2 linked regions of the Struthio camelus genome follow. The protein of the gene in region 1 purifies or fractionates together with the protein of each later gene. This does not show direct contact. Links are inferred from orthologs where the notes say so. Each region holds a gene or a part of one and is shown in the gene's direction. Other genes may lie near its edges.

Region 1 (10,309 bases):
CCTTTCTTAGTACCACTGGGTCCTGATCTTGCCTGGGACCTTGGCACTGCAGCAGTCTTGGAGCTGGTGCAATCACAGCAGCTGGCAGGTATAGCCTGGGTAGGTGGAGAGAGGGGGGTGTTGGCAGAGCCGTCTCCTCTCCTTCCTTGTGCCCAAGCACTCTTGTGCAGGATCCGTGCTGCAGGTTACACGGCTAACACTGCACAAGCTCTCCATCCAGACTGCGGCTGCATGTAAGCCCTGCCAAGGGGAGGGACGGGGAGGCACAGATGGCAGCAGATGCTCTCATCAATGAAAATGATTTAAGCAACACGCAAAACAAAACAAAACAAAAAAACCTAGCAACTGGTAAGCAGACTAACAAAACCCATCACGGGGGTAGAAAAAAGATGCTCAACCTAACAGAGCCCTCACCCCTGCACAGAGCCTAACTCAATGCTGCCTTTCGGCTTGGTGAAATCGTTTTCCCATCCACGGTTCATATATGGAAAAACGAGTGGAGGAAGGAAGAGAGTGCCTTGCTCTGGAGCACTGGGCAGCGATCGTTTTTTAAGACTGGGATCTGCTGAACGAAAGCCGTTCAGTACCCCTCTCCTTCCCCTAGCCCTGCCCTCTCACTCCCTCCTCAAACACACACCTTTAGAGGTGTGAATATGCCCCCAGGCAGCTTCTATGCACACCCCTCGCTTAGCCTTGCTTTCCAGGGCCAAGCTGACAACTGGCATTAAGGGGGAAGGAATCGACATGCTTAATGGAGCTGAGGTGGTTACTGCAAACAGCTAGCTGCTGCCAGGGGGGTTGGATCCTCCAGAATAACTGCTTTGTACCAGGTACAAAGGTCCTCGTCCTCCTCCCCTCCCATCCCCTGACTTTGACCTGTGCCCTGTACGATCAGTTGTGGCCGGGATTTGGCACAGCTGTATGCTTTTGCCCAGGTTTTCTCAGACATGTTCAGGTAGAAGCTGAGAGAATTTATTCACTGTCTGATTTTTTCTCTTTTTGCATTTGCCTGGGATGCCTAATGGCACAGTCAGAGCTACAGAACGACTGTTTCTACTGCATATACTTAGATGAATGGCACAGCATGCAGACCTCTAGCCCTGCACTTCCACAATTAATTGCATGGAAGCTGTTTTTGCTACATGCACACGTAGTAATCTCTGTTCTGCAAGTGCCGAGCCACACTGTGCACGTGAATATATTTTTATCGAGGAAATGGAGACAGATCTGTAGCAGCTTTCTGCACAAGGAACGAGGCTGTCTCATAGTGCTGATAGTGTCTTTCGCCTGTTCAAGCACGGCAACTCTCCTTGCAAGCTGAGTGACACCATTTTGAGCTTTGTAGAAGGAAGGCGGCATGCAGAGATACGCCGAGCCCTTCAATGGGGTGCACTGGGAGCGCTGCAGATGTAACTACCTGGGTGCATGTGGATGAGAGCCAAAAAGGAGAGTGATTCACTTTTCATGGTGTGACATACAACTCCCCACAGTCAATGTTTCTTTACTGACTTCTATTGGCTGCAATTTCATTCCCTAAAAAGCAGCCAGAAGCAGCACTCTAAACAGCACTGCAATCCAGCAGACCAGCTCTTGGCTGAGTAACGTGTGAAACAGCATTTACAGGTTTCTGGCAAAGCAGTCTTGGAGCACCCCTTCTTCTGGCACCTCCCCACACTAGGCACTATGACACCCACCAAGCCAACAGCAAAACCCCACGGCCTGCTGTCGGGCTGCTCTGCACCCCTGGCTGGGAGGCTGCAGGGAAAGTGGCAGCCACATACGCAGCAGAAACAGCACAGCTTGGTAAAAGCAGAGCTGTGGCAACCAAAGGGTTGACTCTCATTTCTGCCATCAGCAATTCAAAGGTGCTAATACCTACTGCAATGGGAATACAGAGCACTGTGCTGCAGCCGGCACCGATATGACTCATCCTCTTTGCAAACAGATGCAAACAGCAGTTTTTTCCTGTCGATCCCGAGGCTGTGCCCTAGCATAGCTGCAGCTAAAATTGTTCCTTAGGAAGAGGCTTTGATGACATTTGATGGTGGTGGTACTGCCAGGTAAAGTATTGCCACCCAACTGCAGTGCACAGCCCTCTCAAGCGGGAAGGGAGGAGGGCTTGCCTGGCTGTGGTAGGAACTGCATCAGGAACCTGGTCAAGGTTAAAAACAATTATTCAGATGCTTAAAGTAATTGCAGGTCAGCTAAAAGGTATCTCTTTTTTTCTGACAGGTGAGAAAGGTGGTCTGGCAGCAATTTCTCTTCCTTAGTTTTAGTTTACTTCATTATCAGGTTCTGACTTTAATCCCTGTAGAATACAGGAAAATCTAGTATGCAGATTCTGCGCTTGGCCTGCAATGACAATCATAGGTCTTGGAAAACGTTTTAGCAGAAAATGTGACGTGTATAAGCGTAGCTTACATTCAAAACACGTAATTGGGATGCAATCAATCTTCGGATGAGCCTGAAATGTGGGAAAGAGGAAAAAACAGTGTGGACAATAGGGTGAATTATTTTTTAAGTGCTTTTTATCTGAAATAAAGCACTTTCCTTTAGCACTAAGCAACTTGCTGCATAATTTTTGTTGGATTCATTATGAGTACAGGGGAAAGGGAGGGATGCTGGCCCCGTGGCAAAGACAATGGATGAACATCTGGTAGATCTGAGCTCAGAGCGTGACGCTGCTTTGTTCTTTCTGTGTGACCATAACAACATTGCCCCGTCTCTCTCTGCTTAATTTCCCTTGTGTAAAATAGAGATAGCGCTTGCCTATTTAGTGTGTACGAGACACCGAGAGCTCACTGTGTGTCTCCAGTTCGAAGGCAATGCAAAGATGAGTGCTGCCTCTTTGATGTAACCAGAACCACGGGTTCACATCTGAATGCCACAATTTCAGGTCAAACAGGATTCGGATCTAAATCGGGTTAGCGCTAAGCTTTGAAAGCCAGGTGAAGTTTTGCAAGCCTCTGTCACCACCTGCTCCTTACCCCTGCAATCCCAAGAGGAGTTTTAACATCCCTGAAGCATTTCTTTTGGTTTCTCCCCACCAGGCTCTTGGCGACAGCACCTCGCTCAGAAGCAGTGGGCGTGGGAGAGGAGCAGAGCCTGTGGGCCGGACCCTCTCCTGCTTTGAGCGTGAGAGCACCCGTGCAGGTGCAGGTTAGTGCCAGGAATTAACAATCCAAAGCAACATGTCATGCACTGGTTCCTTGCAGCCCCTCGGGACTCCCCGTCCTCTGGCCTCTCCTTGCCATCTTCCTCTTCCTTGCCTCCCAACGGAGATTGCCGGCGGCTGCTCAGCATCCTTCACCCCACCGCCACGCGACTGTGCTCCTCCGCAGGCCGGGCCAACGGCCTGCTGTGGAGTCATCTTCTCGGCAGCTGATCCAGGGGCATTCATTCGGCAGCAGCTTGCCAGGGCTGGGGTTGGAAGCGTTTATTTTAGCTGGGGTTTGGAAAGAAAATGTTGAAATCCTCTTCCTTCAGCAGGCTTCAAGAGCTCATGGCTCTCTGCCTAGATAACACTTTTTATGAGGAAAGCTTTGGTTTTGGGATTTTCAGACTAATTCCCTTCCCCTTCTTTTTTTTCTATTTTGCCCATGGAAAAGGGGGATGGACAACCCTAAACTGAAGCAAGAGAAGACATTCTTCTTTTCCCCTCCAAAAATTAAAAGGGGGCTTTTCCCCTTACTCTATTCATTTGAAGGATGGGGACTATGCCATTTTTTTGGAGCTGTTTTATTAGCATGTGCCCTTTGCCCAGGTAAAAAGGGCTGACTTCACAGTTTGCAAAGTGGGAGGAGAGCTCAGAGCCCGTCAAGCTGCTGCCGGAGCACTCGGCAAGGCTGCGGAGAGGAAGACGGGCAGGAAAAACAGTGAGAAACCCTGAATGGACTAAAGACCGGGGCTTCATTTGAGCTACACCAAGGCAAACCCTGCGCTTCCGCAGCTTCTGCTCCCACCAGCTTAAACCACTCCACAGCAAATCACAAAAAGCGAATGGCTCGACTGGTGCCACAACACCAGTAACTCGCCACTGACTATGGTAACTAGGCCTAAATCAAAGCCGATGTCAATCCGGTCACGCAGTTTAGACACATGTGGTGAAGCAGTCACAGTTTTGCAGTAGTTTCTCTGCTGACACGCTTTGGAGGAATTGATTTTCTGCAGTAGGAAAGGGGGATAGGAAGAGGCTCAGCACTGCTTGCGTAATGGGGATAGTGAAATTTTTAGCATCGCACTATTTCCCAGCAACTAGTGCTTTAAGCCTTTGGTGCGCTACAAGAAATGACCCTTCCTGAAAAGATTTTGCCATGTCAGTAACCATGGCAGCTTGATATCCTTCTTTAGCTAGCTGCTGTGAACGACTGGAGAGAAGAGAGTTAATTTTAAAACATCCGGCATCCGTATCAGCAGCAGGGAGGAAGGCTCCCTCGATTTCATAAGTGCCAGCAAAACCTAAGCTTCTAAATCGTAATCCCTCTTTAAGCTGGAGTTGCCAGGCCACATCCAAGGGCAGAGAAAAACCACTGCTGTGTTAGCAGGCTCCGAAACCAGCCATAGGGCTTTTCTATGCCACCTACAGTGGGACGGAGGGGAGCCCACCACGAGTCCTACCACTGTGTCAGGTGAGACAGGTCACTTCTGAAATATTTGCTGATGAGGGCTGGCTCTCCGCTGGGCCCTAGCGGCGTCTTTTCCTGGGGAGGTCATATATGAGGCCCTTTTCTTCTGCTCTTCACCTTCCCAGGCTTCCCCCTCCCTCCTGAGGGGGAAAGCTTTTTGCGATATGCCCTGCTGCTCTGGGGGAGGAGGAGCTCCTTTCCTTCAGATGCCGGTTTCTTGGCTCTTGCCATGTGCGTTTGCTTTTCCCAGAGAAAAGGAGATCCACAGAGTAAGAATAAAAACCTTCCGCCACTTTTTAGCGCTGTTTCAGCAGGGCAACGCATCACCATTTGCAAAGTGCAGCCGAGACAGGAGCAGGACCCACTGGGCCAGGTTCGCTGGCTCTCCTGCTGAACCCCAGGCCTTTGCGCCACCCTTTGACGTGCCATCTGCACAGTCTGCATCGCATTTACGTCTGTCCTTCCCCTCCTATCCCCAGCTTTGGCATTTATGAGTGAGCGATTCCTTAGGGATGGGCTTTGGCAGCCACCAAACTGTTGTAAGTTTAGCAAAGTGGTGATTGAGATCAGCAGAGGAGACATGGGAACGGAGGGCAGGGAGAGCTAAAAAAGGGAGGAGGGTTTGTCTGTCCTACAGGAGAGCTTCAGGGTTCAGCTTCATCCAGATCAGACCAGAAAGATAGGCTGGGAACGGTCCGGGAAAGAAAATATTTGAAAGCTTTTGACCTTTTCAAAGCACGCTGCCTGGACTGATTTAGCACCAAAGTCAAAGCCATGAAGTTGTAACATAACATTTTGGCTGGGTTGAATGCAGGTTTTCCGAGGGCAGTTGTTCTTTCGGGACAGTGTTTGCCCAGCTGTACGCAACAGCCAGCTTCGCCCAGCTCAGCCCTTGCTCCAGCTGCAGCAACGCTGCTCGGCCAGGCCAGGGGAAGCCAGCCCAGGAGCAGCGCAAGTCAGCAGAGCCCAGAAACCCTAATGGCGAGGCAGGTCAGCTCTGAAAAGGCGCTTTGTTGCTCAGGCCGATCTCTCCTTGGGATAATCCATCTCTTTGCATTACAGTATCACCAAAAGAGTAGGACTGGGGCTCCTGGCGCACGTCACCCTGGAACCTCTATGGAAAGGGCAGTCTCTGCCTGAAGGAGCGCCCCGTCCACCCTGTCCACCCCGCAAGGGTCCCTCGTGCTGCTCTGCGCCACCCGGGCCGCCTTGCCAGCTCAGTCTGGCGCGTGTGGAGGACTGTCCCGGGTCGTCCAGCCACGGCCCGATGCTAGGAGCAGCGGTCGGGGCTGTGCGACAGCCTGGCGATGGCTGGCATACGGGCCATCGCACTGCGGCAGAGGGAAGGGGAGAAGCGCAGCGATTTGGGGGCTCCTTGACGTGGCCTGGGGGCAAAACGTGAAGGCACTTCGCGGGAACTGCTCGTGGCCGAAACGGGGTAGCGTCAGCGAGCGGCGGGAGCTGCGGCGTTGCGCTGAGGGGTGTCCGGGCCCTGGGCGGCTGCTCGGGGGCGTCTCAGCGAGGCTCAGGACACCAGCGCGGGGCGCCGAGGGGGCAGGAGTGGCGCCGGGCAGCCACGGGTGCCACCGGGCCGGGCCGGGCCCTTTGTTCGGGGGCCGCCCGAGGCAGCGGCAGCGGCAGCGGCGGCCTTACCCCGCGCCCGCGCAGCGCTGCGCCCGCCGCCGCGGCAGCGGCGAGGCTGACGTCACCCTCCCTGGCGCCCGCCGCGCTGATTGGCTGCGGGTGACGTCAGCTTGAGGCTTTTTTTTTGCCTTTTTTTTTTGCCTTTTTTTTTTTTTTTTTTTTCCCCGAGGCATGACCTCATCGCCGGCGCATTCCCGGCGGCGCGCGGAGCGGCGCGGAGCGGCGCGGCCCCTGCGCGCCGCGGCAGGCGGGCCCGGCGGCGCCGCCAGCGGCCGCGCCAGCCCGCGGAGCGGCGCGGAGCGGCCCTCCGCCGCGCCGGGTCAGTGCGGGGCCGCGGGGGGCGGGCGGGGGCAGCGCCTGCACGCGCTCCATAGGCATATATATTTTATATAGATATGTATGTGCCTGCAAATGCGTATATATATATATGTGTGTGTGTGTGTGCCGGGAGGTGCGGGCAGGGGCGCGTACGCGGGGAGCGGCGCGGCCGCGCTGTGCACTGCAGCACGCAGCACATGTGCGGCGCGTACGCGGCGTCCGTCGTGGGGACGCAGGGGCTGGCGCCGGGGCATGTGCGGAGTTGCGCGGAGCGGAGCGGAGCGGGGGAGACGGACAGCGCGCCGGCGCCGCCCGGGGCCGGTAGGGCGGCTGCTATAGATAAATATAGATGTAATACGGCTTTTTAAAGGGGGGATTGGGATTATGCTGGTGCAAAAGAAACAAACAAACAAAAAAAAAACCAGAAAGAAAAAGGGGGAGGGCGAAGCCGTGCCGAGGCCGCGCTGCGGCGCGGAGAGCGGCGCCGGGGAGGTGCGCGCCGGGCGCCCGCTGCGCTGGGAGCCGGGCAGCGGCGCGCGGCTTTGCGGCTGCCGCAGGTGCGCGCGGAGGCGGCGCCGGCTCGGGCCCGGCTGCGCCGAGGCGGTCGGAGCTCTGGGCTCCCGCCGCGCTCCGGTGTCGCTGGGGGTATCTTGCTAGCGGTTTTTCTCTTTGGGGGCTGAGGCTTGGGGTTTGAGGAATCGGTGTTAACAGCGCTGTGGTTTTCTAACGATGAGAGAGTTTGGAGTGTCGCCGTGTGTCCTTGGCGTTTAAACGAGCCCGGGGAAGCCGGCATGTGTTCAGCAGCAGGGGTTTTCATGCAACGCTTCACTGCTGCAGCTCCAAAGGCGCTGCTAGCGATTAATGAGTTAAGCTGCCCATTTAAAATAATCTCCTTGACCTCCCATAACGTGCATGGAGCAATTGATCATCTCTCCCTCCCCCCTCATTGTTATGTAGTGATAAATGTTGGATTTTGTGCTGAAAGTTAGAGCTGATTATCACTAGTCAGAATCCTGATTGTTTCCCTTTATTGATAAACAAGTTCCTTCTCTTTTCTGCTCGCCCCCTTCCTTTCTCCTCCCCCAGAATTAAATTCCTGAGCACAGTAAAAGCTGATGTCAGTGCTTCAGCTTGCATTGGGGGAGCTCTACGCACAGGTCAGTAATTTGCGGTTTTGTTGTAAGGAGGGACGTGGTGCAGTGTTGTTCTGTTAAGGATGTTTGCGTTTGCTGGGCACAGATGCGTTTCTTATTTGGATTGTGGTAGTATCAAAAGCTCCCTAGTGGGGAGCACAGCCTGCTAGGCGCTGTATATAAAAGCATGTGTCAAAAAGACCATCCCTGTCCCAAACAGTGAGCAGTCGCAAATACGCTAGGAACGGTTGCCGGAGGTTTCAGTCTCCCTCTAATTTGGGGCGTGAAGACAGATACCTCCCTCTGCCCCCCGCGAAGCGAATGGTGCAGCTGTCAAAAAGCCCAAGGAGGCTGGAGCAGGTAGTGAGGAGGACTGTGCTGGCAGCCTGGCGGGTGCTTCCAGCCACACCGGGGCTCTTTTAACCTTGAAGCGGGCTTGCCTGTGGAGCTGCGTTTGCCGTTTGCTTGCATTGTCTCTTTCTTCCCTGCTAAGGCAAAAGGCTTGGGGTATGGCTGCCTTCACACTGAAATTCGGTGGCGGAGAGCTTTGTTTTCAGGACTTGACGCGTGGGAATTGGCACTCGCAGGTTTGGCCTTGCCTGTCTCGGAGGGGTTTGCTAGCGCTGTTGTAAGCGGTCTGCGCTGTTCGGTTTTCCTCTGCAGAAGAGGTTTATTGGGTTTGAGTCTAGTTGGGACTTGCTGGGTTTGCTTTGGTTTTGCTTGTAGCAGTTGCCAAACAAATAAGCTGCAACACCAAGAAAACTTCTCAATTGTGGGTGGCATAGCCCTGCTGGCAGGGTGCGCATGTGTGGGGCTGTCCTAATGGCCACTACCACAAAGGACATTTGGGAATGCGAGAGCAGATGGGGGCCCAAATGCCTCCTTGGGATGACAGTATGTTGGACTTCCTACGCTCGGCTGATTGGCAATAAACTCAAGTAGAGAAACCCTTGATCTAAATGGTGTCTTGAATACTGGTTCTGAGATGTCAGCGTTTCACACCAAAATGCTTTTAACTCAACAGTTTAGCCGACTGTGACTTTCAGTTGTCCCTGCCTTAATGCAAGCTAAGGAATAGGAGAGGGAGACTTAGATCTAGCTTTACATTATGAAATCTAGCCTCTGCTGTGTTTGGGAGACCTGAGCAAAGTGGCCAGACTCCTCAGGGCTCTCTTAATGGAGATCACTCTTGCAAGTGTAGTACTTGGCATTTGTTTGCAGAGATGTTTTTGCTGGGTGCCAAGCACCTTGCTGAGAAACCCACTGAGGTGCCTGCCTTTGCAGAGTTTGTCACTTAAAATTAAATACGATGCTGCTGTTACTACCAAAGCACCCCCGAAGGCTGGATGAGACTTCTCAGTAGCGTATGTCTCATACAGGCAAATTGCCTCTTGAGAGAAAATGAGGTTCTCCCCCACAAGAAAACCCCCCAAAATGGAAACCATTTGTGTCTCAGAAGGATTTTTGAAAATGAGCATTCTCAGGATGAGTGTGAAGGGGCTTCCTCTCCATCCTTATTCCCTACCTCTCTGCCAACAAGTGCTGCTTTAAATCTGTGTAAGAATAAGGAGCGTGTTATAGCTGCTTTCCTGTTTCGATTTGTTCTGTTGACTTTAATTAAGTCTCTTCTTAAGGAGCAGACACCGGTTTCTTTGGTGTATAGCTCAGTTGAGGTTTGGCTCCAAAAGCCCCGCGTGCACGCAGGTGTAGAACATGTTAAGGCCATCTGGGATGAAAGCAGGAAAAGGAGGTGTTTCAGTGCTTGGCAGTCTTGACTTACAGGACTGACTTACAGGATGCTACCGTCACACTTCGGCTGCTGCAGCAAACTGGATTTTGTAAAGAACAAGGTGATAAAGAAAAGGAGCTTGCAAATACTGGGTCCTCTGCCTGGTAGGACAGTTGGAAGATTAAACTAGGCTGGAGAGTTTGTAGATCTTTTTGCCCTCTACTGTTGGTTTAATGGCAATGCTAAGGGGGAGCCGGCTGCGGAAAGCCACAGCACAAGAGGTGCTCCTTTTCCTTGACGTGCGGTGCCATTTCACCCCGGGCTTTTCTTTGCTACTATGCTTAGAACTTTGCAGCCAGACCTTCACTGCTGTCATCCTGTGGGGAAAGCTTAAAAATGCTCTGCTGCAGCCTCACGCCCTCTGGGCTTTAAAACCTGTTTTTCAAGCTCTGCATTTCTCCTCTGAAGATACACCTGTCCTACCTGATGCTGAGTGGGAAGGCAGACACCTGACGTAATTTCAGGCTGGCTTGGGGTGGGGAGGCAAGGGGGCCTGAGACAATTCATCAGATAAGAAGCCGAATGAGCTCCCTGCTCATGATTTTCTCAAGCTTGTTTGGGAAGACCTGTGCATACTTTGTGAGCAGGGATGCAATACAGCCTAGGGACATTAAGGCTGTAAAAGCTGATGGTGCCAAGGCGCTCTGGGATAATGGTATGGCAGCGCTGCCCTCAAAACGGGTGCTTTTGCCAGGCAAAGTTTGGCCCACGCGAGCCAAATCCAAGCCAGAGACCAAGGTGCGAGTTCCTGAGCTGTGGCCGAGGTGGACACCTCAGTCGCCCGGTCTTCTCTTTAGCAG
Region 2 (9,299 bases), on another chromosome or scaffold:
GAAAATAATTTTTCTCTACAACAGCTGAAGTGATCAAAATATATCTTCATTTCAAAATCCTAAAATGGGTGTTCACAAGTGGTCATAGGGTAGTACTGCACAGTGCAGAGTCGTGTGGAGGCAGCAAAGCTAACACAAAGAGGTGTAATTTCTCTCAAGGGGAATTGTTTGTTATTGCAATTATCCTGCTTATTGTAACTAGTGTAGTTTGCTTAGTTCCAAGTCCTGGCATTTTGCAGTATAGGCATAACACACACAAATATCTTCAAAATGCTTTCGTCAGTGCATAATAAAATACCAAGTCAAAAGAGATAAAACTAAGTTTTCTGTGTCCCTTTACCTGCCATTTAGCTTGCGGTCTTCACATTTAGTTGTTTTTCAAATCTGTATTCAGAAGCTACTAGTTTGTTTGGTTTTTTTTTAATCAGGATCATCATATGGAAGGTTAGATTCAACCAGCTTTTAGACAGGATGTCAGATGATTGCTGTTGGCCAATTTCATTTGAAATAAAGTCATTTCTAGCTCTCTTCACAGATAATATTTAATACATCTAACATGGGAGATATGTTAGTATTTAGGAGTTGAAATCAAAAAATTCTGACAAGAATTAGTGCGCTCCTGATCAGTCTTACTTTGCTTTAACAAAAAGATGTATCGAGCAAGTTCAGAGCAAAAAACCATTGAATGCTGGTTGGAGAGAACATAGCTGAAAATTGGCCTTCAGAATCCACTGAGTTTTGTGTAAGTGTTGTCTGAATGGTCATCTAATTTTGGTCACCTGCCACCGGTTCCAAGCAGCTGAATTCAGTCTGGTGCAGGGGCTTTTCCAGCTATGATGTTCTTGTAATGATGATGGACAAACAGCCGATATAAAAGTCCCTGTGGTCTTGTTCTGAATGCCTAGAAATGCCCTTTGTTCTGGAATTATTCTTAGAAAGCCAAGTATAGAGGCTTCATTGATAAGGTGCAGCATTAAGCAGCCGCAGTGGAAAGGGAGATCAGGCATCTAAGTACATAATTTAGGAAGACAGGAGTGTGACACAGATAAAAATTAGAAGTATGTTTGGGGGATTTAGGAATTAAACTCTACAACTCAAAGTTACACACACCTATAATCAATATTTCCCTAGTAAAGAAACCAGAGCAACACTTGGCTATGACATAGTTAGAATACGTTACCAGAATCCAGCCCTGAATCTGGCGCAGGGATCCCACTCTCCGATGTTGTCACCATATAAAGCCAAACTCAAGAACTTTTATCTAAATTATATGAAAGCCTTGCCCATGCAAAATTTCAGCTGAGTGACAGTATAAATAAAAAACACCCTATGTTGTATTAATATCAGTGTATAGAAATATGAGGCATTGTGATACCATAAACACTGTCTCTTCATGGTTAAACTACACTTTTCTCCACTAGCAATTTCTGATCAGCTGAGTATGTCTAACTGGTTGTATATACTTGGCTGCCAATTTACTTGGTACACCCTACTGATATAAATGGACTGTTAATGGACTTACACTCAGAAAGACCTTTGCAGGCTCAGCAAAGAAGAGGTTAACAGTGTTAATGCCATTTCAGAGAACACATGGTCTGTTGACTACACAGACAGAAATGTCTCTTTTTCTGAGCTGAAGTATACCTTATGCATGAACATGGCCCCTGTGCTCATGATCAAGGTTATAACCTGTTGCATGGTGCCCCGTGGTGGCTGCTTTCCTTCTGCTACCTTTGCCAAGGCCAGCAACTGTTCAGTTGATTTTGATTACTATTAAAAAAACTTAATCCTAAGTCATGATTATTTGCTAACAGGCAGAACGAACAATAAATCAGCATTTACTGATTAGTGACTGTTTCCAGTTCCACTCAGTGGGGGAATGCAGTTCCCTCCAACTAGTTACTTGACACTGATTTCATCTTGCTCTTAAAGACATAGTTAAATAAAAAATCCAGCTGGTAAAATGTTTCTTTTATTAATTTCCTTTTGATCTACTGGGTTATTAAAATGAAACATTTAAACACCTGCTATATTTATCAACAGTTAGAAGGTGTGATTCTTCATTCATTTTCTTTGTATGCTTTTTTCAGGCTTTAATATGCCAGTTAATTGAATTTTTGGTTGTAACTAGTTTCTAGCAAATGTCCATTTCATTTTCTAGTGTGAAATACAACTTTTGTATTGCAACCAATGGTAAAGATAAACTGTTGAAGTAAAGATATTATCAAACGGTTTTGTTTACTTCACATAAACATTTGTATTACTTATGGAATTTTCTAAAATGTTATAAAGTCTGGGGGTTGTTTCCAAATATAATGCCCTTAGCAAACAATATTTATCAACTTGTTTTTATAACAGGGCGTGGATGTTGATCCTGGCTGTGACTTATCAAGCCTCAGCGTGGAAAAACTGGGCCCCCTGACTCCCCACAATTCTTGTTGATCTCTTCTTGGCCAGATAATTAGTGAGGTGAGGAGATGGTTATGGTTTATTAATTTCCAGAAGGCATCTTTCAGTGCTGAAAGGTAGCTAGGTGTCTATGCAATGATGATATTTATATACATGTCTAAAACAAATAAATGATAGAATTACAGTGACTGCATGTTTGCACAGGTGGTTCAGCCTGGGAAGTTCAGTGAAATGCAATTTTTGTCTTCTATTGAAGATGACTTAAGAAAAGAAATGTTAGAAGGTCCATTCTTGCAGATACATGTTTTTAAATAAGATAACTTAAAAAAAAAAAAAAACTTTTTTCAGAGCATGCTATTTACCTGCCTATCTAAATGTTGTTATCTTACAGTTGCAACACATACCTAGAATATCTTATTTCTCTTCTCAGGAAGAGAAACTTGTCTAAGAATGATTGTAGGCATAATCAGATACTTACTTTTAAACAGCTGTTGTGGTTTAAGAAGGTACCACCCTGTGTCTTCTCACTGCAGCCCCATTCAACTGAAGTACATTCACTTACTTTGTGAATTATCCTAGTCCGTTTTGGTGCAAAAATAATTCATCATTCTTTACTATGGATGTTTTGTGGACAAAAGTGACTACATTATATAGCCTTGGGCTTGATGTTTTGTATTGTAGTTTCTAACTTTTCTTATCTTTTTGGATATCAGTCAGGACGATCCAGAAAAGAGTCTCCACCCGGGCATACTCAATATTTGCACATAGCCATTATGCTTGCAAGAAAATACTTCTGCAAAGCAGTTTTGAAAACAACACTATGGTGATGCTAAATAACATTCTCAAAAAAAAAATTTTTTTTAGGGACTTAGTTTTAAAAAACAGATTATTCACACAATCAGGGAAATTTTGTCCTTATTAAGAGAGGCATTATTTCAATGTCTTAAAATTTTTGCATAGAGCACAGGAACCTTACAGCCTATCGGTAATGTCTTTAATTTTTTAAAGGCGATATACTAGTAAGTAGCAGATTTATGATATCAAATCCTTATTTTCCTTTTATTGTGTTCCTTCATAAAATCTTTAAATATGTAGGAGTCCATGGAACGTGTAATATTAAAATATATAATGCTACTTCATTGTGCTTTGCATCAACACTGGTCTGCTCTTGTTGTGTAATTTCTGCATCATTATTATCTGTTGCTTATCAGCTCTGCATACAAGCTAGCGATAGATGCTGATGGCACATATGGCTGTGAGTGCTAGTTTTAAAAAACTCACTTATAAATACATCTCTGTTAAAGTGTCAACTTTGTAACGTGTAAAATCTCAATGAGAATTTGAACGTCCAGTGAAAAACATATGTGACAAACCTATAGCATAAGCAAAACGCCATTTTAAACTTGCCAGTCTCAGTGAAGTCTTATCTCAAATAGCACGATTAGGAACGATAGCTCCCCAAAAGATTAAGAGTAACATAGGTGATCCTTAAAGCCGCAGGAAGGAATTTGCCTTGCAAATAACTGTGCTGGCTGAACGTGGTGTCACCCCCCCACCCCCCGTTTCTGGCAGCAGAGACGCAGAGCAGCAAAGGTTGCTACCAGAGAGGTCTGCTTGCCAGCAGAAGGAAACACGTGCCTGTGCCACGGTCTGCTTCAGGCAAAATCGGCAGGGCTAGTCTCATCTGCTGATGAAGATGGATATGACCTAACCAGATTAAATTTTTTTGCCTCCAGTGGATTTCAGGGATTTGTATTGCCTTTCCTGCCAGCCTTTGGCACAAATAAACACGGAAGGGAATGCAACACCTGACTGTATTCTCACGTACTCCTACCAGAAAAAGCCTGAAAGCAAAACACGAGTTAATTCAACTCAGAGACTGCCCCATGAAAATAATCAGAGGTGAAGTGGGAGAAACTTGATTTCCTCTCTCTTGGAAAGACGCTTAAGAGCCTGGTGGGATGCAGAGGGGCCTCTCTCCTGGGGTGGAGTCTAAGCGATAGCTTTTCCTGTAGGTATAAAGGAAACGCTGTGTATCTGTCTGCAGGGATCTGTAATGGAACGACTTCTCAGATATGGATTGAAAATACGCTTGCCTAAAATAAATGAGAATTTTAAGGACGTGAGTGCAGAGACCTCACTAAAACAGGCATATGAGTAGTAGGTCAACAGCTTTATGGAAGTGAAGCTCCTAATAGCGCCAGGATAGTGGGCCAAACTGTAATACTCTGAAGCACCACCTTTATGGTGTGAAAATCTAAGCTTGTTACAGCCATGCAGCAGGGTAAAAGCTGTTAGCAGTGACGACCTCACTGTGATCTTGGCATCTTCAAAAACGTGACACTTAAATGTTTAACAAATCGATTAAACGTGGACTGTCTGATTTTGGTGTGCCGGACTGACAGATTTTAATTAAAAACCGGTCAAAGAGCCTTTTTTGTACTGTGCAGCGTAAATATACAAAGGCTTGCTTCAAACGTGTTGATAGGGCTTCAAGGTGCTCAGAGGCCTGGCCTCCTTTTGTCTCTGCGCAGTGACACGGGGCGGGGAACAAACAATGATATACCAAAGAAAACGCAGAAAAACCAAAGAGCGACTGCTTGCGTCAGGCAGCGAGAGCCAAAGACGATGGCGAGGGATGACTCAAAGCCTCGCAACGCAGCACTGAAGACTGAGAGGAAAAATTGCCAGAGCAGCTACGGAACAAAAAAATATGACAACACCCAGTAAGGAGATAAAGCTCGGGCGTGGCAGACGCGGCCCCGGATCCGCGGCGGTGCCAGCGCAGCCCAAGGCGTCTGGGGGCACGAGGAAAACTGCCGCTGGAGCGCGATGGCGGGGTGCGGACGGCATGGAGCTGCGAAACGCGGTTGTTTATGGCAGTGCCGGCAGGAGGGGAGGCGTAATTCGGGACAGGGGCTGCTGCGGGAGGGCGGGCGCGGAGGAGCCCTGGCGATGCCGGCGCTGGCAGCCGGGCGGGCAGCGGGGGCGCCGCAGAGCCCGCGGGCGCGGACAGGCCGCGGCGTGGGCGGGGCCGGCGCAGCCGCAGCCGCGCCGGGCGGGCGGAGCGTGCGCGCGGCCCGGCCCCGGCTCATTACTCAGCGGCCGAGCAGGCGGCGGGAGGCGGCGAGCGGGGCCGAGACGGCGGCGGCGGCGGCGGCCTGGCTGGGGCTGAGGAGGAGGTGGTGGTGGCGGCGACGGCGGCGGCGGGGAGCGGGACTGAGGCGGCGGCGGCCGGGCCGGGCCTCTTTGTTTACGTTTCGGAGCGAGGCCGCGGCGGGGGCGGCGCTCGGCCTGTGGCAGCGGGGGCGCCCCCGGCCCTGAGGCGACGCGGGGCTCTCCAGGCCCGTGTCCGCCGGGGCCGGGCCGGGCCGGGCCGCGCTCGGCGCCCGGCGTCTCCCGGTAACGGGGGGGGCGGGGGGCTCTTTGTTGGCGGCCGGGAGGGGCCGGGGCTCGGCGCGGGCTCCTCCCCCGGGGGCGCGGGGGGCGGCGCGGCGCGGCGCGGCGGCCTGTTGGCCTGCGGGGCCGGGACCGCCCCCCGCGGGAGCGCGGCTCCGCGACCTTGCTGTGGAAGTGCCTCCTCGGGAAGAAACGCTCCTCCGGGACGGCGTGACCGCCCCAAATCCGCAGGGGGGCTGGGGGGCGTCTGGCGGCGCTTCCGATTGTTTTGCCTTTTAATTTCATGTTTCCGGTGAAAGGGGTGAGCTGCCTGCCTGCAGAATTTGTTTTGTCCTTTAGTTGCTCTGTGTCGCTAACAGCGTCTGGCTTTGCTCTCAGAGCCTGTTTCTTTATGTGTCTCTCTGTGGAGTGGTGCCATCGCTGAAGCCTGATCTGGGCATGACTGATAAGCTACAAATATGAACCCCACTCGGTTAATTCTCCCCTAGTTACAGTAACAGATTCAGGTGTGTAGTGTGTTTTTTGAATTTAAGCGCTCTGCAGAACAGGCTTGCTGAAGTCTTTCAGATCATCCAGAAACCCTGCACGCTTTGGCCTGTCTGATAATGTAAATATAGAGGGTATTATACTTCTCGTGGAAGGAAAGTATTAATTGCCCTAGGGCACGTGCATGTAGAGTTTTGCGAGGAGAATTTTGCAAGCTTACATCACAACTCGGTCTTATTTACAGGCATGGAGACACTGACTAGTGGGGGACTCTCAATTTACATGAGTGCTAGCCTTGCTTTTAGAGGTGCAGACAAATATACCCCTAGGATGGGACAGTATTTGAAATGCATCTTACTTTATCTATGTATTTGCAGATATATCAGCATAACCTACAAATGGTTCCAGCTGTAGCCTGAAGACGCACTGGGCCAAATCTAGTTAAAGTCTACTGTCAAAGTGAGTTCACTGACTTATCTGAGCTTTCCTGGGGTATAATGAAGAGGGACTCTTAATTCTTTTAGTAATACCTAAGAAACGTATGTTGAATTTTTAACAGTCCCATGCTTGATCTCGGTCTACGAGGACAGCCATCTTGTCTTTTTTTTCACTTGATTTCAGATTTGTAGCATAGGCTAGTCCCTCTGCCCTCCTCCACCCCCCAAGTGACTGGATGTTCAGTGGTTTTCACATAAACGCCCATTGCTGAGTTCTGCAGAATCTCTACTGCCAGGACAGGGACCAGACAAATTCCAGGTTGATTGTCAGGTACTAACTGCTTTCAAGACAGATAGGGCAAAAGTATGTTAGGAGAAGGGAAAGAGTTTTGGAGTTGTAGAGGATGCACAAAGTTGACTGCACAAAGACATTTTGTCATAACTCTGACAAAGCAATTTTAACTCTGTCTTCTAGTGCAGAATTTCCCTAGCTTTTTGGCTCCAGTGGCTCCTATAAGCAGATGAAGTGTCTTGCTGTTTACCATATACCATATGGAGGCTTCTTGGTCAGAAACATTAAAAAGATGATCCAATACAGTCCTGTGTCCTACTGTTTGGGACTACTCATTCTAGGCAGAAGATGAGCTGTCCTTTGTGTATGGGTTGTTTTCTTGGTTGTTGTCTTTAACTTTTAATGATTCTCTTTAGAGAGCTAGGCCTTTGCTGGCTTTATAGGAGTGCAAGTATAACCTCCTTTGCAAATCCTTTAGATAAGTTGCTGTATCAGCCAATTGTAATGCAAATATTAGCAAATAAATTCCATTGTTGAGACTCCAAAACACTTATTTATTTTCTGCCTGCTACTTACCTGACATGGTTAGTTGTGGTTGTTGCTTGTTCTAATTCTTAAACCATGAGTTAATGGGATAGTATTTGAGATTATAATACTATTTGGTTATTTGTTCACTGTATGTTTGGGTGGTTTTTTTTTTCTTCCTTTCCCAACTACCTAAATCATGTGAGTGCTTGTTGTTTAAAGATGTATAAAAAGTAAGTGTGTAGCCCTTCATTTCTGAGGATTGATCCAATATTCTGGACTAAAACAGATATCCTTCCTGATAATCTGCTGAAAAGTACGGTATGATGTTTCTTAAGCTTCCCTTTTCTTCCCCATGAAAAAAGTTTTCTGTGAGTATGTATATAATGTTCATTGCTGTATCACTTTTTGCAAATTAGGCTAATCTGGTTTTGCTCATAGCTGCCTTTTTAATAAGTGATAAGAATGTATTTTATTGCCATAAGTGTTTCCATTTAAAAAAAAGTTCTAAACCCAAAACCCGTGGAAATAAACTTCTTTGTTAATGTTATGGAAAGATCTGTCCTTAAAAATCAATTTAAACTATTTAGACGGTTTGCCTGCTGTGAAATTCATCACAGTTTGGACATGGATTCAGGAAAACAATTTTTATTTTGCTGAACTGAGAATCTGAACGTCTACTGTTTGGATCTTTTCACAAATCCACTTGTCCAAATGGAATTGAAGATTCCCTTTTAAACTTGAAAAAATGCCATTTCTGGTTATCCTTGTGAAAATATCAACTATAGTTAATTAAGCATTGCTTCGTTACATGGTGTATATATGTCCATATGCAAGTACAGAAATAGTCATTTATATTTGCATATATTCTTTTTAATAGTGACTTTAGTGGAAGATAATTAGTTGGTTGATAAAGTCTTTGAGTTTTCAGAGCAATGATAATACTTTTTGTATTTCTATAACATAACACCATAGTTCCATGTTCAGTGGTTACCTTTCTTGAGCAGTTTCTCTCCCTGCTGTTCTTTCTTGCCAGCTCCTGTGTGGCAAAGCAGACAGGGAACTGACTGATACAACTGAAAAATCTTCCTGTTGGACTGATTAATTCCCTTTTGTGTCTGAACAAATAGCTGTACTGGTACAATGTTGGGAGACAGGAGACTGCTTAGGTAGGGACTGCTATCAAAGATGTACATACGAAACAACAGGTTGAATAGTAGTTGCTGGAAGGCTGGAGTAATGCAAGTGGGAAAACCTCTTCTATATTCAGAGGTTCTTGTTTGAAGATATGTTCATAGACTGGGCCTTCTGCAGATGTTCCCTAAAAGCATTCCAAACAAGGTGCTTATTTTGTTTGCTTGAATTCACTGTTAAGGCTAAATGATTTAGGATGAGTACCTGCTTGGTGATGAATGTTGGTCTAGAGCAATTCTAAATTGGTAGCTTACACTGGATGGACATCCTTTTCCAGATCTAGCCATATTAGTCATTTCAATAAACACCCTTAAGGTAGACAGTTGAAAGTTCATGAACTGAAGTAGAGCAATGAGGCAGAAGATATGTCTTTGTAGTGCTGATAACTGTTTGTGTTTTCTTCCTTTTTATTATTTTATTTTATTTTAATACTGCTTTTGTGAAGCAGTGCTTTCCTGGTGTGCCTGTGCTTTACTTAGTGCTTATGTAATCCAGTCTTGAATCTTACTTTAAAATTTAAATGGTTTATATATACATATATTTATACACACACACAC

Evidence for each region. The genes of interacting proteins can lie anywhere in the genome.
Region 2: the proteins of DUSP8 (region 1) and MAPK8 purify together in Homo sapiens (affinity purification with mass spectrometry; 3 studies listed by BioGRID and IntAct, counting the BioPlex papers as one, with this or other methods). This does not show direct contact. The link is inferred for Struthio camelus from reciprocal best matches to the Homo sapiens genes DUSP8 and MAPK8.

The regions. Positions count from the first base shown.
Region 1 is NC_090946.1:17,930,599-17,940,907, reverse strand, and holds the start of DUSP8 (dual specificity protein phosphatase 8), read left to right. Parts: upstream 1-6,524; 5' UTR 6,525-6,588; intron 6,589-6,846; exon of another isoform or gene 6,847-6,908; intron 6,909-10,309. UniProt on the Homo sapiens protein: Has phosphatase activity with synthetic phosphatase substrates and negatively regulates mitogen-activated protein kinase activity, presumably by catalysing their dephosphorylation.
Region 2 is NC_090948.1:21,903,398-21,912,696, reverse strand, and holds the start of MAPK8 (mitogen-activated protein kinase 8), read left to right. Parts: upstream 1-4,977; 5' UTR 4,978-5,135; intron 5,136-5,186; exon of another isoform or gene 5,187-5,249; intron 5,250-5,462; exon of another isoform or gene 5,463-5,594; intron 5,595-5,792; exon of another isoform or gene 5,793-5,811; intron 5,812-6,671; 5' UTR 6,672-6,753; intron 6,754-9,299. UniProt on the Homo sapiens protein: Serine/threonine-protein kinase involved in various processes such as cell proliferation, differentiation, migration, transformation and programmed cell death.